Linked DNA regions of Drosophila melanogaster. The protein of the gene in region 1 binds, or shares a complex with, the protein of each later gene. Each region holds a gene or a part of one and is shown on either strand. Other genes may lie near its edges. The genes, in order: Sym and Ssu72. A codon is read from its position in the direction of its gene.

Region 1 (6,833 bases):
ACTTTGACGAGATGCTTCGCGAGTCGGACTTAATCGTAGTCTGTTGCGCCCTAACCCCGGAGACTAAGGAAATCTTCAATGCCACTGCCTTTCAGAAGATGAAGCCCAACTGCATTCTTATCAACACGGCGCGTGGTGGCGTTGTAGACCAGAAGGCCCTGTACGAGGCACTGAAAACCAAACGAATTCTAGCAGCTGGTCTGGATGTAACGACGCCGGAGCCATTGCCAATCGACGATCCTCTTCTGAAACTGGATAATGTGGTTATTCTCCCCCACATTGGCAGCGCTGACATCGAAACGCGCAAGGAAATGTCCCGGATTACAGCCAGAAATATTCTTGCTGCCTTAGCTGGCGATAAAATGGTAGCCGAAGTAGAGCTGTAAGCCGTGTAATCTCAGCGTACAATGAATTTTTTCCACATCTTTTTAAAAACATCTGTTTGTAATTATGTACAATGTTCTAATTAAATATTTCGTACTTTCAAAGGTATTTTAAAGGTACTGAAATTATTGAAACACTTGTATTACGCCGATGACAGTGCTCGCAATGAACTGATCCGTAAATGGTCGTGGCCACTCAGAATCGAAATTTTTGTGTTATTTGCGTGGGGTATACTCCCAATCTTTTGATCATTAACAAACAAAATTATATTCCTTTATAATGTATGTGGGTGCGGTCAAGACCTTGGTTTTATGTATTATCGCCTAGAACAGTGAGTTTATAAAATTATAGACCTTATCTTATTAAGTAATTTAAAAATGTGTATGAGCAAACAAAACAATTAAACTGCAACTAGTCCTCGCCAGGCGGCAGGGGCTGGTTAAGATCACTGCCTATGGGGGGAGGAACTGGTAGTGGTACTAGAGACGTCAGTACGGGCACTGTGGAAATGACACTAATTTCTGATGGATCCGGTGCCTCTTTTTTAATATGCTCGGCACTGATGTAACCGCCGCTTTCGTCCTGAAAAGAAGATACTCGTATGTAGTAGCTGAACGTCTTCGATATTGGTTCGGTATTTGAGTTACTATTATTTCATTTAAGACTAAATCAAAAAATGCATAGTTACCGTCACGAACACATCAACTGATTTCCCGGAGATGATGTCCAGAACCTGCTGGGTTATACCACTACCATTCATTGGTTCATCCTGCATGCTCTCCGCGTATTCCGACAATGCTGGCCTTAAATCGGGGCACTGCTGCAGTGCGTCCACCAGCTGGGCGGGAGGAAGGTGCAGCAGGATCGGCATTGACTGCGGTTTCAGGCGCTGCACGGTCTTTAAAAAGCCCTCCCAGATTACTTTTTGCCGCCAGACCTGCTTGATTATCAGACGCTGCAACAAGTTCATTACAAAGTTTGCCAGACGCGGGTACAGAGTTAGACTCTGAATTGTTGTGCGCATCATCAGAGTAGGCAGCGGAGTAACCTCTACAAGCTGTTGCAGCACAGCCATAAGTACCTCCTGTGTGTACAGATCTCTTTCAGCCAAACATAGGGATGTAGCCTTAACGATGGCTTTAATATCGCAGACACTCGTATCGATGGTGTGCAAAGCCACGAGAATATCAGTGGGGGTCATGGCCATCGTCTGATGCGCGAATTCGGCACCGATACCAAGCAATCGATTGAAAACCTCCTTGACCACAGCGGGATTAAGTTTAATCAGCTTCGGCAGAACGGAAATTAGCTCGGATCGGGTTAAGCCACTTAGCACGGGTATCATCACGCGCACATCCTTGACCTTGTTCTGGTAGAGATCCCGAACCCGCCGAACCAATTCTTCATGGGGGGATGGCACTCGCTCTGTCAGTATGTAAATTATACGGATCACTAAGGTCTCCATACCCTTAGGACAATCCTCGATTAGTTGCAGCAACGTCGGGCTTTCTACACCCATCTTTTTTATGGGAATATCTAGACTGCGCAAGATCGTGCGTTTCAGTTCGGCAGATGTAGAAACAAACACTTGACAAATTTGCTGTAAGTAAACTATCAGGGGAAGAGAATATTAAGAAATTGATTTAATAGTTTTTTTCTTCTTTAATACGGGACAGCAACAACTTACCTTCCGGTTTATAGGGCAGCAGGGTAAAGGCCAAACCAAAGCACACCTTGGTAGTGTCTTCCCGCCAATCAGGCTCCTCGGTTGGTCGACCAAAGTCCTGCGAGAAAACAGCTGCCGGCGGAGATTCCTGTTCGATAAATTTAAGCCACTCCAGAGCGAATTCGTCTATTCGAGCCGGTAGTATTTTGTGTACATGGTACAGACTGACCAGGTGGGCCTGTGCCAGATCCCGCAGATCCAGTCGCTCATGCACAGAAAAGTTGAGCAACACTCTAACGAAACGATTCTTTCGCGGCGGCCTAAGCACTGCAAGGTCCTTGATTAGCTCCAGGCCGTGCTGGGAGAACTCGTCGTCCAGGCTTAATTGAACTAGATGTCCAATTGAGACTTCCGGAAGAATGGGTGCTTCTAGATATACTCGACGAATCAAAATAATCTTATCCTTGTGATCGCAACGCTCTCCAATGCCGAAGATAAGCTTATTCAGCAACTCGTTGTAGGCGTGATCGGGTCTGTTCTCTGTCTTAACATAAGTGTGCCTTGTAAATCCTTGCAGCAGAGAGTACTCCTCAAAGAGCCAGGAAAATGCCAAATCGATACGCTGTTTTATATCCTCCAGGATGAACTCCATGATGCCGTAACGTACGTTATCGGGAAAGGTGGCAGCAATCACGGTGACCAGCTTACGGCGCTTTGATGACACTCCTCCCTTAATGCATTGCCGCTCCGAGTTGAGGATGCGACGCACTGCATCAGTTAGGAACTTCTCTTTTAAGTTGCGTGGCAGAGGCTTGGTGATCTCCTGCAGCTTCAGCGTCTTGGCGCGCTCCTTCATCTTTTCAATAACAGTCTGCTCACCCTTGGCGCGCTCCATGGTCTCGCGCAGCTTCTTGGTTGCTTCCTCCTTACGCTGAAACTCTTCCTCACTCAGTTTTTGAACAGCATCCTCGTCCACTTCCATTGCAGTTAGTGTTGATTCAATCGCTTGCACTTTCTTAACCCGCATTGGCGGCTCTCGACTGAAGGTTGCGGCACCTGGGCCTAGGCGCTTTTCAGATAGTTGTTCGCCAAAAAATCTGGAGATATTGGTTACCTGCTGCTGAATAGACATTTCGCGAATGGGTGTATATTCCTGAAGGAACTTTTGTGGCACCTCAGTGGGCAGACTGGGCAGGAACTCCAGCACCAGGGTCACAACAGTTTCAGGATTACGGAAATGCTCTGCCAGAAACTTTTCGTTAACTCGAGTAGACTTCTGTTTCTGTCGTTCCAATTCCTCAGTGTCTAGCTCCATTTCTCGCTGCTGCTGATCCTGCTGCTCACAGGCCAAGCGCGCACGCTTTGCAAGACTTTGCGCAGCATTTTCGAGGATGCGTTTTTGTCTACGAGCCATTTCCTGTTTGTCCATTTTGGGAATAAGCTTCTGGATCTCATTTGTGGAGGACCCCAGATCAACTAACATTCCTCGGATAGTGCTTGCAAACTCAAAGGCACCGCGGTTCTTCAGCAATGTCTGCAACTGCATCTTAAGGCTCTTACGCACGGAGCTTACTTGCGAGTCAGTGAGGGTGGGCGGCAGGTTGGCATTCAGCTGCTTAAAGGCTTCCACCACGGCGCCCATGAAAATGGGTCGCATTTTGGCAATTGTACACAAGCTGCTTGTGCAGGCAATCAAGTTCACTGAGGAAATATGCGTTGTTCCGTGGAACTGAAGCAAGATATCTAAAATATTGTTGCCCTCCTCTTGCAACTTTTCACGGCGGAATAGTGTGCAGTGATCGGGGACATCTGCCAGCGAGAAGTCTCCATCTCGTTTCAGACTGTCCTCGTCAGCAAAGCTCTGCAGAACCACGACGCCCTCCAAGAACTTAATGGCATTTGTACGTATGCCGTCGTTTTCATTGTCGATCATGTCCAGTATTTGCGCCTTGATTAAGCTGAGGATGTTCCACGCCTGCTCCGCACTGTCGCCGGGCTCCATGAGGCTGCACAAGTACTGCAATCCATTCTTGTAGATGCTACCGCAGGCTTGGATCACTCTTTTGATTACCTGAGCCGAGTTATCCCTAAGCAGCATAGACACGACGTTAATGACATGGGGCAGTAACTCCACCTTCACTTTACTGGGATGGAAAATATAAATCGTTTCAGCAAGAAGTTAGATCCTTTGATGGAAATCCTTACCAAACTTGCTCTACGAAGGCGACTACCTGCTTGCGAACCTCCATGTTTGAGTCGTGGGCCAAAGACAGCACGGACTCCAGGAATTCTTCGGCCAGCTCCGCGCACGATCCAAGCACAGTCTCCTGCACCTTAGCCAGCAGTTCGCACTTTGTCGAAGGCGATGCGATGACCAGCTCATTGCACCAATCGACCACCTGAATGGGAAAATATATGGTACAATACAGCAGTCCGGACTGTCTTGTCTGATTAAGATTTGTGTTCTACCTTAGCTCTTGCCGTAGCTGTCTTCTCGTCTGTGAACAGATTGGCCGTCTCCGAGACAAACTGGCTGCGTCCAATTATGCTATCCATGTTTGGTTAATTGATGCAGATTTTGCCTAAATCTGCGATACTTCGGATATTTTTAAGAGCTGCCGGCACGGATGGCAAGGTGTTATCGGTACCATTGAGAAACTATCGAAAACGGTTCTATGATGTTGGTAATTCTGCATATTTCCGGACCATCTAGCTATTTTTTGCCAGCTCTTAATGTGTTCAAAAGAAAAAGAATATTTTACTAAAAACTTGGCTTATAATCAAATGAACCGCCTGCAAACTAATTTTCCTTGCTCGTTACCGTATAAAAAATTAATAAATCACATAAATTAAGCCATTTTTGGCATATCTCAGCTTAACGCGTTATTATCGATGAGCATGCCGCAGTTGCGCTGGCCGAGCGATATGCGGGGGTGACTATCGATAAGCCAGAGGCATCGATTTGCTCACATTTCTTGGGTGTTTTAGCGTGAAAAAAACGCCTAAATAAACGAATCGGCAGCGTGTCAGGCCAGAAAGTGCAACAAACGGATCGCAGTTCGCGACGCAGTCGAGGATTGGAACAGAAGACGCCGTCGAAGGTGCCGAAAAACGTCCCAGCAACCGCCAGCCGTCGCAGCGGAGTGTTTACTGGGCGAGGGGTGCAGTGGATGAGCTGTGTGGGCGCGTGCGTGTGTATGTGTGCGCCAGTGAGTGGGGCAGAGGCAGCGGCAGAGGAGCAGCGGCGGATGTAGCTCGTTGCCCGGACCCCGTAGTGGATACCACGAAAAGCTAGCGCAAACGTAGGCAGTCCAACAAAGAAAATAAACACTGGAAACCGAAGACGACGAGGCCTTCTGGAACTGGAACAGCACTGCTCAACAGCCGCAGCCGCGTCGGTGACCGCACCCTAATGTCAAATAGCCAAGCGAATGCCGGCATCAGCGGTAGCACGGTAGCGGATGAACCCATCCAGCACCACCCTTCCTTGGCGGCCGGCCCCGTAAGTGCATCCTGCCCAGCAGCGACCCCGCCGTCGCAGTCGACGCAGCAGCCCCCGCCGCACATAGTTAGTGCCTCAACAGCTGATGCGGGCAGCAGCGCTGCGGTCGGCGTCGGCGTCGTAGCTGGCAGCGAGGGCGTCAATCTGGACTCGTCGCCACGCGAGTCCGGGGACGATTCGGAGGATGAGAGCGAGATTTTGGAGGAGTCGCCATGTGGACGCTGGCTGAAGCGACGCGAGGAGGTGGATCAGCGTGACGTACCCGGTATTGACTGCGTCCATCTGGCCATGGACACCGAGGAGGGCGTAGAGGTCGTGTGGAATGAGGTGCAATATGCCAGCCTACAGGAGCTGAAGTCGCAGGAGGAGAAGATGCGGCAGGTGTTCGACAATCTGCTGCAGCTGGACCACCAAAACATTGTCAAGTTCCACCGCTACTGGACGGACACGCAGCAGGCCGAGCGACCCAGGGTGGTCTTTATCACCGAGTACATGTCGAGCGGATCGCTGAAACAGTTCCTCAAGCGCACCAAGCGCAACGCCAAGCGGCTACCGCTGGAGTCGTGGCGCCGGTGGTGCACTCAGATTTTGTCCGCACTCAGCTATTTGCATTCCTGCTCGCCGCCCATCATCCACGGCAATTTAACCTGTGATAGCATCTTCATCCAGCACAACGGCCTGGTCAAGATCGGCTCGGTGGTCCCGGACGCGGTCCACTACAGCGTCCGGCGCGGCCGAGAGCGGGAGCGTGAACGCGAACGAGGCGCCCACTACTTCCAGGCGCCCGAGTACGGCGCCGCCGACCAGTTGACCGCCGCCCTCGACATCTACGCCTTCGGGATGTGTGCCCTGGAGATGGCCGCCCTGGAAATCCAGCCCAGTAACAGCGAGTCAACTGCCATCAACGAGGAGACCATCCAGCGCACAATCTTTAGCCTGGAAAACGATCTGCAGCGCGACCTGATACGAAAGTGTCTCAACCCGCAGCCGCAGGACCGACCCAGCGCCAATGATCTGCTCTTTCACCCATTGCTTTTCGAGGTGAGTTTTCAAGTCAATTATCTTGTTCTAAATGCTATAAATTCAAGACCCGCATAACAATTGCCTTGTCAACTAGACCTTGCATTCTAATTCTCGGATCCATCGAGTGAGAGATTTAGTTTAATAAGACACCTGATATTATTAAATTTTATTTTAAGTAAATAATTGAAATCTGAAGATTTGAATAATTATATGATTTAAATGCACCGTTAAATATTTAAGTTCTAAATTTGGTTTTAT
Region 2 (4,649 bases), on another chromosome or scaffold:
AACGCGATGTCCAATCCCAATCCCAATAACCAAGCACCGCCAGCAGGCGTTCCGATTTGGCGGCAAGTGGACGACAACGAAGGCTACAACGACGCCCTGACCGATCGAGTGACAAAGTACGACTAATATTGGATCTCAGGAACTTCGGTACTGCCGGCAGCTATTCGACCAACCAGTTGGGTCCTCTCTCCCTCTCTCTCTCGCTCTCGCTGTGTGTCTCTGTCTCTTCCTCTCACCTCACCCACTCATGCACACGCTGCTCACACGGACAGGTGAGCAGTGGAACGAGCCAATTCCAATATCAATTCCAGCTCCAAACGCCGCTTTGCACAGTGGAACATCATGGCCAAAATGGTAGCTTTTTAGCACAAATATTTTTTGTTTTTTCTACAAGATTTGTCCCAATGTTATTCCCGTATAATGATATCCAAAACGTATATGAATTGTGTTGTGTCACTTTTGTCAAAGTATAATATAAAATGATATACAATAAGCTTACTTTAAAATGTTTTTGGCCCAAAGACGCTACAATTACGGTTTAATATAAAATAAACAAATAAAGGTTATTTTAAATTATCAAGCAAGAATGACGTGGCATTGGGTTCAATGGGAATATTTTTTGAAATAGGTTTTTGTTAGCAAAAGGTGAAAAGAAGTTTAGACGCTTTTCAATCTGTTAATTGTTTGGAAAGGGGAGAAACGGTTGTTTTGATATTGTCGCAAGTGCCAAGCAATGCGACCCACTGTGCCGCAAACCTGCTTAACTCACAACACACGCGATGCGGCGGCTGCTGCTGCTGCTGGTTGTGGTGCCGCTGGTGGCGATGGTGCTTCTAGTCCTCCTGCCTCACTCCACACACAGGTAAAGAATGGAGGCAACGGCTCCAAGTTGCTCAGCCGCATTCCACGAGCTCCAAACTGAAAGGTTGTTGTCGGTTACTACTGCGGTTGCCTATGCGCTTGGGACGGCGAAATTCGCCATTGGGTGTTGCAAGCCGCTTTCAATTCAAGTTCAAATTCGCGCTTTAGTAACAAAATTCACTTATAGTTAGATTAACTCAGTTTTGGCGCTTTTCGTATCCAAATTCACTTCGGTTGGATTCAAAAATAAGAATTGACCGCCAACGCTGCCAGACTGCGTCGAACTGGTCGACAGTGTTGAAAAGTTCGTAAACTGGCGGCAAGAAATCGATATAACTAGTTGAAAGTGTCAATAGTAGTGGAGCTGGAGTCCAGAAAAATATTTCGAATTTAAAATAGATTTAATAAATTGGAATTATTCGATATAACATTGATATTAACCAGGGGGAGCCCTTTTTTATGCTAAGGGTAGTATGAGATATTTCATTTTATACAAGTTGCAGGATTATAAATACGTTTTAAGACATTACGATAGGTAATTGCCAGCTGTTAGTTTGATCATATTTAATGCTGCAGGACTCCTCGAACTTTAATTATGTTAAGTAGCTATGTATGTTATGTATTTGTTTGGCCAAAAATGTTTCAAAAACTCGAGGCTTTTACATAATTAGTTTTAAATATTCCGTACTAATTATCAGTTGTTATAACGTATATTTTTTTTAGGTTTTTTGAATATTTTGAACGTGAAGTCAACGTGTTCAATTAAACACTGCAGAATTTTTTAAATCGCGTGTTTTCAGATTAACACGTTAAATGTATGTTCGTGAATATATCGTATCGATATTCGTGCTCGTGGTTTTGCCATCCCATCTCCAATTTGATGAACATATTTTTCGACGACTGCGATTGCAACGCACTGCCAAAGAGAAAGAGACATGACTGATCCTAGCAAGCTCGCCGTCGCCGTAGTCTGTTCCTCGAACATGAATCGCTCAATGGAGGCGCACAACTTTCTGGCCAAGAAGGGTTTCAATGTGCGCTCCTACGGCACCGGCGAGCGCGTCAAGCTACCGGGCATGGCGTTCGACAAGCCGAATGTTTACGAGTTTGGCACCAAATACGAGGACATCTACCGCGACCTGGAGTCCAAGGACAAGGAGTTGTGAGTTATTCGTTTTTCCGGCCTACCGTTGGCTAATCCCTGCCCTTTCGTCCTGTTTACAGCTACACACAGAACGGCCTGCTACACATGCTCGACCGCAATCGTCGCATAAAGAAGTGCCCGGAACGGTTTCAGGACACCAAAGAGCAGTTCGACATCATCGTCACTGTGGAAGAGCGCGTCTACGACCTGGTGGTGATGCACATGGAGTCCATGGAATCCGTGGACAACCGACCCGTGCACGTTCTCAACGTGGATGTGGTGGACAACGCTGAAGATGCGCTAATGGGCGCCTTTGTCATCACAGACATGATAAACATGGTATGATCATCTGTCGTCCATTCCCTCAATTCGCCCAACGATTCTTGTGCCTTTGCAGATGGCCAAGTCCACGGACCTGGACAACGACATCGACGAATTGATCCAGGAGTTCGAGGAGCGCCGCAAGCGGGTCATCCTGCACTCGGTGCTCTTCTACTGACGACCGACGTCTGCTAACAGTTCGTGTCCAGCTCCAGCACCAACACCAGACTCCCGTAGCCCCGACGCGCTCCAGCCGAGTCACTCGATCTTGTACCCCAGGGGCTGCGATCGCAGAGCATAGGACGTCGGGCATTGCGCGCAGCGCGTGCGGATCCTGGGTTCCGGATTGGTAGCCTAGCATATAAGAATACTGTAAATAGAGAGGGGCCATCGCTGCAGCGAAAGCACATCCAACAACGACCAGCACCCACACACTCGCATACTCCAAACACCTGATTCGTAATCCACATCAACACCACACATGCAAGCAACTGGCTAATGAATTGGAATATAACACACAACCAATGACGACCATTTCCACACGGCTGCCCCCCAAAACCCCTGTAGTAGTATGTGTACGTGTCCGTATTCCTTGTAATTTCGCCCGTCGACTGGGGGTCTTATCACAGGCTCTCGCTTCCCTCAGCTGGCGAAGGCGCCGACCATCTGACTCCGACCCGTTCTCCCGTTCGGCCGCTCTGCCGCTCTCTTCGCCCGGCTTTGAGTCCGATTCGGACTCAGATTCGGATTCGATTCACATAAAGTGAAATCTCGCATCGTGATTGTGTGAATGAGCATGCACGCCAGAGAGCCACACAGGGGCGGAACGGTCTGGGCCCTCGCGGGCAGGGGCCGCGTTTTTTAATTTTACACAGTTTTACCAATTGTTCAGACAGGGCAAACCCGACCGACCTTGGTTGGGGCTGTGCGTTTTAAACCAAAGGCAAAGGCCCGCAACGGGCGCTAGCTTGCAATAGAAAATAAACAACAGGGGAGTTGTGTTCACTAAGGATTGGAATAAAAGTGCACGCCAATTTATGCCGGTTTCTTGTTGACGGCCTGTGTCACATTTACCCTGCGACCTCAAACCTGCCTAGGTCTTCTCTTCGACGGAAATACCATTGATTACGTCTCATCCCACTGCTACCTCGGAGTTCACCTTGATCGGACGCTGAGTTGGAAAGCCCTTATCACGGCTCCTGGAAACTGAAAAAGCTGGACTGGGTTTTCCACTCAAGCAAACTCCATATGGCAACTAAGGCTCTCTTAATAAAAGCCATATCCAAGTGTGGGGAACAGAGTATTAGAGTAAGACAATCGGGAGCGGCACGACATGCATCTGGGCTACATGTGGTATGTGAGCAATAGAGTTATTGAAGGGGACTTAAAAGGTGTCCCATTGGGGTACCAAATAAACTTCCATAGCAGCCGATATGCCGACAGACTTAGCGCCCACTTAAACACGTTAGCGAATGATCTTGTCGACCCTATTTCCCTCCGATGTCTGAAGAGAATACATCCCCATGAACTCCTTACACGTAATATAGCATAATCTCTCCTCGGTACATTTGTATACACTATAATTAAGGAACAGAATCCATAATATCTTTTAAGCTACACATTAGGTTAACTTCAGAAGGAACTGATCGATTCCTACTGACTAATGAATAATAATAAATGATTTAAACTCTAAAAAGAAATGTTGACGTTTGCTCGTTTTCACTGACCAAATACGACGTGATTCTAGGTAGGATTAGAAATTGTAAGGGTGTTGTTTAGTAATGTGGGAATCATAATTCTAGCATAATTTCATCATTAAACTCATCAACGCATCAGATCAATGCTCTCAGATTAAACAGTTTTATTTCCATGTTATACTATGATATCGTATTATTTGTATATTTATGTGTTATCCATCAATTCCATTCACATGTAAATCCAGATCGAATGGGCCCCCGCGCGCACTGAATCCGCTCCTGTCTGCGATCAGCTGCGCAGTCGGGGTTACAAAGCGTCTGCTGCTTTAGCTGTTGTTGCTGGTGTGTTGGTGTTGTTGCCATTGGCAGTGCTTGCTTGGGCGTTTGTTTGCTGCGGCGGTTCGCGCCGCGCTTCAGTCAGTCAGGGAACGATCGTGCTTATCTTCATTACTACTACCGCTTCCACCGAGGCTTCGCGACTCCGTACCCGTACTCGCTTTGTTTTACGTTTGCGCTACTAGTTAGTGAATCCGACGACGACGACCTGCGCGTGCGATTAAAGCGCCGCAACTCTTTGTAATTACACAGCCAGAGCCGCAGAGGTTGCTCAAAATCCAGCGACTGGA

Evidence for each region.
Region 2: the proteins of Sym (region 1) and Ssu72 are in contact, whole or in part, in a crystal structure (PDB 4YGX), measured with the Drosophila melanogaster proteins. Residues at the interface, in NP_649580.1 of Drosophila melanogaster: Glu91 (codon at 4,266), Ala117 (codon at 4,127), Lys121 (codon at 4,115), Gln125 (codon at 4,103), Gly128 (codon at 4,094), Ser129 (codon at 4,091), Glu169 (codon at 3,971), Asn170 (codon at 3,968), Asp171 (codon at 3,965), Gly172 (codon at 3,962), Thr175 (codon at 3,953), Asn176 (codon at 3,950), Lys179 (codon at 3,941), Phe180 (codon at 3,938), Arg198 (codon at 3,884), Ser240 (codon at 3,758), Ser241 (codon at 3,755), Val242 (codon at 3,752), Ile245 (codon at 3,743), Ala246 (codon at 3,740), Ser249 (codon at 3,731), Thr281 (codon at 3,635), Ser283 (codon at 3,629), Gln284 (codon at 3,626), Ser286 (codon at 3,620), Ser287 (codon at 3,617), Lys290 (codon at 3,608), Met294 (codon at 3,596), Gln295 (codon at 3,593); in NP_001285455.1 of Drosophila melanogaster: Glu114, Tyr117, Asp118, Val121, Met122, Glu125, Glu128, Ser129, Val130, Asp131, Asn132, Arg133, Pro134, Asp168, Asp170, Asn171, Asp174, Gln178, Glu181, Val187, Ile188, Leu189, His190, Ser191, Val192, Phe194.

Annotation. Positions count from the first base shown.
Region 1 is NT_033777.3:5,737,523-5,744,355, forward strand, and holds Sym (symplekin), read right to left. Parts: upstream 4,955-6,833; 5' UTR 4,607-4,954; coding exon 4,520-4,606; intron 4,450-4,519; coding exon 4,256-4,449; intron 4,195-4,255; coding exon 2,072-4,194; intron 1,996-2,071; coding exon 1,073-1,995; intron 967-1,072; coding exon 796-966; 3' UTR 656-795; downstream 1-655. Other genes in the region: CG1236 (uncharacterized protein), read left to right, coding at 1-386; Madm (MLF1-adaptor molecule), read left to right, coding at 5,463-6,593. UniProt on the Drosophila melanogaster protein: Component of a protein complex required for cotranscriptional processing of 3'-ends of polyadenylated and histone pre-mRNA. Involved in germline stem cell transit amplification, differentiation and mitosis-to-meiosis transition.
Region 2 is NC_004354.4:19,662,850-19,667,498, forward strand, and holds Ssu72 (Ssu72 CTD phosphatase), read left to right. Parts: upstream 1-1,711; 5' UTR 1,712-1,796; coding exon 1,797-2,023; intron 2,024-2,085; coding exon 2,086-2,344; intron 2,345-2,402; coding exon 2,403-2,504; 3' UTR 2,505-4,017; downstream 4,018-4,649.